2 linked regions of the Neurospora crassa OR74A genome follow. The protein of the gene in region 1 purifies or fractionates together with the protein of each later gene. This does not show direct contact. Links are inferred from orthologs where the notes say so. Each region holds a gene or a part of one and is shown on either strand. Other genes may lie near its edges.

Region 1 (2,903 bases):
TAGGAGATGGGTAAAGACTCATGCTGTCGGTGGTGTAGTCCAGATACTTGGCCCTGACGTATCTCTCAATATCGTGAGAGTCGTAGTCACCATAGCGAAGCTGAACATCAATCCAAAACTTGTTCGTCGTAGTAGACTCGATGACATCCTTGGTATCGAAAAGGAGCGATGGGCGAGTAACGTTCCATTTGTGGCTGGCAAAGAGCTGGATATCCGCGCAGGAGCTGTTCATCTTGTAAGATTTTCTGGGATGAATGGTTTCCTTTTGAACCGATTCGATGCTTAGAGCCTCAAGCTCCTGATCGAAGACCTGGCAAAGATCCATGACCACTGACTCGTGGATCTTCTGCCACAGATGAGCTCGGAAGATCTGGATCAGGGAGATCTTGAGAGTAGGAATCTTGCCGTGCAAGAAGATACCAGTTAGATCCAACTGCACTTGGAAACCGACGTAGACATTGGCTCTGTTGATGGTAGGCGACCACCAAAGCGTGAAACGACGATTAGGAATCTGGTTGAGACCTGCGTATTTCAAAGTCAGTATTTGTGCGTGCATATGATGATGAATTCATGCTAGAGAAATGGTATGTTGAACTTACCGCTCCTCTGGGCATTTGTCAACTTCTTGAACTTCATCGACTCCTCGAAACCACTGGCCTTCTCCCAGAAGAGACCTTCCCAAGACGGGAAACCAGTTGCCTTGAACAAGGTATGCTCCAAGATGGTTTCGACACCACCAAGCGCCTGGATGACATCGGTACGGTATGCGTTAAGGTTCCAAAGTTTACCGTCATGCCTCTGGCTTGTCCACCAGAAGGGATTGCTCTTCATCAACTGATAGATCTTGAACTCGGAACGGGCACGGAAACCCTTGTCGAAGCTTAACGTGCTACGGTCCTTTTGAAAAAGAGTGTTTATACGGGGCAGACCGCGATCCCAGCTGTCCTCCAGATCCTCTAGGGTCAATCTGCGGTTCTGCTGGTTGGCCTCGAGACGCTTCTGCGAGTATTCCGTCCACACACGCTGGGAGTCGATAAACTCAGCTTCCCACGGGATGATGTAGCGGAAGATGTTGGGGATCAGCGTTTCCTCATCGTGCGACATGCCCGCACGGTAATGAGTAACTCCGAGATCTGTCTGTTTAGACCAGCGCTTGTCGCTAGTAGGGATAAGGATGTGTGATCCGGAAATCATACCCAAGCCACCAAGCTCCTTGGGAGTGTAGAAAACGGCAGGAGGGAAACGGGAAGGCATCTTGGAGTTGAGACCAATTTTGACACGAGTCTGGATTTTGGTTTCACACTTGACAATCGTGTCAAGCAGGTTCACGGTCGAAACAGCAGCCTCGCGGTAGTAAGTAAAGAGGGCAATCAGCGCCGTGTTCCACTTGTTAGCAATCTTGGTGAATGTGGTCGAGCCAGACGACATGAGAATCTGACGGATCCTGTTATTGAATTTCTGAATGTCCTCTTCGGTAACTTGTAGGAAAGCGTGAGCGGTGCGTTCCTTGGTCGTGTTGTCCACTAGTGACCAGACACTGTCTTTCACAGGGAACTCATCGTTCTGGTTGCGGATCTTGGGCAAGATGCGCACTTCGAAGCCGCACATGGAGAACAGGAGGTTCGGGTTATCCCTGCTGTACACGCTGGCGAAGGTGTCTTCCCATTCAATCGTCGTCACGGATCTTGGGAGGCGGTTCTTGAGATCCCAGAACACAGCTCTGCCGAGGTTGACGTCGTGCCTCATGAGACGCATACGCGAATCTCTGGGCCAGCACTTCTTGCTCTTGTAACCAATCACGTTCTCGAAGTTGGGATCAGGCTGCTCTGTCAAGAATCGCTGGATCAGGTCGCGAGATTCATCCGCGGTGAACCTCAAGAACACCCAGATCTTGTCGATGTACCTGGTGTACAACCTAATCGGGTGTCTTGTTTCAGTCTCCCGGTCCTTGAACTGAAGGAAGTCATTGGGTGCGTGGGGAGGACCGGCAATCTCGCTGGCACGCTGCGGGCCAAGCAACAGCAAATCGAGAATGAGACCATAGTACTGGAAAACGAAGGCTGAGAACTGCAGGCCACGAATCATACCATAGCTGTTGACATGGTTCATGTCCTTGTAAGTTAGGGTAACGTTATTCTTGGCCGTGATGTAGTCCGCAAGGTTGTGGTCCATTATCAACCGAAGAAGCGAGTTGAGCAAGGTCAGCTCAATCTTCTCGTAGACCTTGGAGAGCTGCGTCTCGATCATGACATTGCACTCGCCATTCGCGGTCTCCCAAACCCTGTCGAGGTTGTTAATGCCTTGAGCCCACTTGTACACAAGCAAAGGTGGCACCTCCGAATCGGAAGGCTTAATCCAAGCGGGGAACAGATGGCGCTGGTCAGCTTGATACCACAAGTACTGGTCGAGATAAGCATCGCTAATCTTCTCGATCGGTTCAATATCATAGACCGGGTTGATGGTGCTGTAGTTGTCGTTCATATCGATGCCGACTTCCTTGAAAGCTCTTTGAGTGAGTAGGAAGCGTTTGATACGCTCGAGGGTAGTGCCTGGACTGTCATATGCCTGCTCAATCAAGGCCAACTCCTCACGCTGACTCTGGTTCAATCTTCCCTTGGTCGAGTAAGCCTCACGTAGGCGCTCCAGCGCCAAGATAAGGATCTTGGTGTCATGCTTGTAAGACACACTGGGGAAGGGGATGGGAGAGAATTTTCTCGATTCAAGCCAGTGCACCGTAGTAGTGTAAATGGCAACAGCCTCCTCAGAAGAGACGTAGGGACCATCCTTCATGTGGTTGTGCTGGCGTTCTTGCTCGGCCTTGAGCCACAGACGCGTTAGGCGGCCAACGTTCTTCTTAGCAACGGTCTTATCGACGGTGGCACCCCGACGAATACGCTCCCGGT
Region 2 (3,347 bases), on another chromosome or scaffold:
AGCAAGCTCATCCTTCCTCGGATAGAGCGAAATGTGAAAGATTCCAATACGCTTCTCCGAAGCAATCTGGATAACCGACACGTTTTGCCTCGGGCCGTGGCTCTCCTTTGCGCTGATTTCCCATTCCAAGTCAAGACCGAGAATCTTCTCATCCATGAAGTACTGCTTCAAGACCCTCTCAGTGGTGGTCGCACTTCTGCAGTAATGGACCTTGACCTTCTCGTTCATGTTTCCATCCTTGTCGGGCCCACGATAGAGGTTGTAAGTCCAGTAAGACTTTGGAGTGCCCTCGGCCGCCTTCTTCGCCTCCTTGAAGAGATCCTCGGACATGGTGAAGCTGAGTGGTGTAAACGGAGGCTTGAGAGAAGCATCCTCATCTTTCGACTCAACGTTCCCATCCTCGAGTATGAGTTGGAACTGTTCCTCCAGCCCTTCCTGTGCATCAACAAACTCCTGCCCCTGGGAGTCTAACGTCGTTCCATTCGCGTCAGGATTTCCCTGAGGTACACCTGTGGAGTTGAAGACACCATCGTGGTTGGGCGGAAGAACAGGTTCCGGGTTTGAGGCTGCTGACACCGCAGAGTCGCTGTGATATCTTGCCAAAGATGGCAGTTGCGGGTATCCAACGCTGCCGCGACTATCGCCAGCAAACGTAATGCCCCGGCTTGAATTCCACGTCTGATCTTTCCTCTCCATGGCGCCAAGATGTCTTGATTTGTGTAAAACCCTGGTCAGCCAAAAATATACGGAGAAGTAGTAAGGACCTGGAAGAGCCAGTGAACCTACACTGGATAACGGGATGTGGAAGGAACCGAGGATGAGGGCGAAGAAGCAAAGAAACGCCGCCGGCATTGCCTCAGAGTCAAGCTGGTGGTGCTGTTTACGGCGTTGGCACCGGCGCCGATGGCTTGTGGTATAGGGTGCGGGGACCTCATTATAGCGATGGATGGCAAGCGCAGATCACAAAGTTGCCGAGTGCGTGGGAGGTATGCGTGGTAGAGGTAGGTAGGTAGTAAGTAATGTTGCAGGTTGTCAAGGCCCAGAGAACTGCGCCATGACCTGTCGATTCGTTTGAATGCTGACAGAGGGGAACGAGACGAAAAGGTGTTTGGTGGTTTCAGGGCACTGATATGAATGTTGGTTCGGTCAAAGTGGGGGAACCAAGAGAAGAAGTCGGAGACGGAGTGGACGTTGAAACTTCAAGTTGAACAAATATTGGACCGAGAAATACCTTGTCACGGGCAACGTTGGCTGCTGGCAGGCAGAAACGCGAACGTATTTGGTTGCCTCCGAATACTGAAATCACAAACGAACTGTTTGCTTTGTTCACAAGGAAGGGTCGATGTGAACTAATTGATTCGGTTGCCACTGCAACAGCAGCGCTGTCACGACGTCCAGCCGCTGCCGAGTTGCTGCTGCTGAAGCCTAGGTAGATACCCCGTTTATTCTCATATGCATGGGTACAAGCATAAGCTGCGCCAAGAACGAATCCGAGTCCACGCTGATACTGTGGGAATTACTGATCTTTTTTCACTGTACAACAGCTTAGTACGTACGCCCTGTCGCCTTGTTGGCCTCACAATCGAAGCTCAGTGAACAGCCACTGAACGTCCCTTTCGACATCCAGACTTACCTAAAGACTCGACCATTCCACACCACATACAACATGGCCTCGCAATTACTTCCTCTCGGTGAGTGAGAGAGCTCATGCTGGGCACCACTACTTAGGTATCCAAGAATAAGACAGCTAACGTGGTTTTTTTCCCCAGAGCTCATCGACAAGTGTGTTGGTTCCCGCATCTGGGTTGTCATGAAGGGAGACAAGGGCACGTTATGCCATCCTAGCTGTCCCTGCTGGATTTTGACTTATCGATGGATGTGCTGACTGATGATGGAATGAAAACAGAGTTCGCTGGCACTCTTGTTGGTTTCGATGACTACGTTAGTAAGTAGCGGGCCTCTCCTCACCATCCCCTGTCTTCATATCGTCCCACGGAGCCTTATGCTAACTCACTTTCAAATAGACATGGTTTTGGAGGACGTCACTGAGTTGTACGACGCGTCCTACTCTGGAAGTAGTTCATGAAGGACATTACTAACTTCACTCCTGCTCGATCAGCGACTACTCCGGCAACCACACCAAGTTGAAGAAGATCCTGTTGAACGGCAACAACATCTGCATGGTGGGTCATCATCGTCATCAAAGCTCGCGTTTACAAACAACTAACAGCTGTGCTCAGTTGATTCCCGGTGGTGAAGGCCCAATTGCGGCATCTGCCTGATTTGAAGGCTTGAGAGGATACATGAGGCATGGCCGCGTTAGGAAGAAGCAATCATCATCAGCATATCACGAAATACGAATGGACGTTTCTTTGCCCTCTGTCGGTCACTTCAAGAAGAAGTCAATAATAATAGGTAATTCAGACTGATTCCAAAACACCTCCAAGGAAATTGCTGCCATACACAGCTCACATGAGGTAGGTTGAACTATAATCCTCCATCATATTTCATACTGTTTGTTTGACCCGACTTGACCAAAAAAAATTATCTTAGGCTAGCACGATCAGCAGTTCCTCTTAACCTTAACCAAGCGCTTTTGGATCACCTCTTCAATTGAGAAACAAAGCAAGAAAATGGCTGCCTGTTGTTGCAACTCACCTGATCTAGGAGCACCAGCAACATTGAATATCCAAACCCACCCCACCACCCAACCAGCCGTCCTTGCTCTCTTCCACAACCCATAACTACCAAACCAACATTCAACCACCACCACACTTCAAATAGCCTTAGCATCCAAAATCTTGCTCTTACTCTCCTTCGCCTTGACCAGCTCCTCCACCCACTTGTCCACCTCCGCCAACGCCCTTCTGGGGTCCTTCTTGCGCCTCAACAGAAAGCCCTGGATCTCCGCCGGACTGAGGATCTGGGATGCCGGGATTCTCAGGGAAAACTCCCTGGCGATCTTTTGGAGTTCTTGTCTAGTTAGGGGGGTAATGTGGAGAGGGACGGGACTTTCCGTCTTTTCTTCTGCTGGTTCTTGTTGTTTCCCCTTGTCTTTGGCTGTCGCCGCGGCGGCGGCGGTGATGATGGGAACAAGAGGAGGAGCAGCGGCGTTGTCCTCTTCGCCAATGACGGTTGCGTCACTAGAGCAACTGCTGATGGAGGACTTGCGGAGGTTGTTGTCGTCGAGGAGTTTGAGATCAACGATCTTGGGGTCTATGGGGGGCTGTTGTTGTTTTTCTTCATCCTTCTCAGCGGTGGTGCCGGTGCCTGTGCCGGTGCCATCCGGGGACGCAACCCCCGTGTGAGGAGAATGACCGACTGGAGGCAATGTAGTAGCTGCCGAT

What was found. The genes of interacting proteins can lie anywhere in the genome.
Region 2: the proteins of NCU07832 (region 1) and NCU03766 purify together in Saccharomyces cerevisiae (affinity purification with mass spectrometry; 4 studies listed by BioGRID). This does not show direct contact. The link is inferred for Neurospora crassa OR74A from reciprocal best matches to the Saccharomyces cerevisiae genes PRP8 and LSM5.

The regions. Positions count from the first base shown.
Region 1 is NC_026503.1:1,009,951-1,012,853, reverse strand, and holds part of NCU07832 (pre-mRNA processing splicing factor 8), read right to left. Parts: coding exon 600-2,903; intron 523-599; coding exon 1-522. UniProt on the Saccharomyces cerevisiae protein: Functions as a scaffold that mediates the ordered assembly of spliceosomal proteins and snRNAs. Required for association of BRR2 with the spliceosomal U5 snRNP, and the subsequent assembly of the U4/U6-U5 tri-snRNP complex.
Region 2 is NC_026505.1:2,344,871-2,348,217, forward strand, and holds NCU03766 (small nuclear ribonucleoprotein), read left to right. Parts: upstream 1-1,552; 5' UTR 1,553-1,666; coding exon 1,667-1,691; intron 1,692-1,769; coding exon 1,770-1,826; intron 1,827-1,906; coding exon 1,907-1,945; intron 1,946-2,024; coding exon 2,025-2,052; intron 2,053-2,119; coding exon 2,120-2,183; intron 2,184-2,240; coding exon 2,241-2,282; 3' UTR 2,283-2,477; intron 2,478-2,553; 3' UTR 2,554-2,762; downstream 2,763-3,347. Other genes in the region: NCU03765 (3'-5' exonuclease/helicase), read right to left, coding at 1-709, 787-935; NCU03767 (mitochondrial chaperone bcs1), read right to left, coding at 2,777-3,347. UniProt on the Saccharomyces cerevisiae protein: Component of LSm protein complexes, which are involved in RNA processing and may function in a chaperone-like manner. Component of the cytoplasmic LSM1-LSM7 complex which is involved in mRNA degradation by activating the decapping step.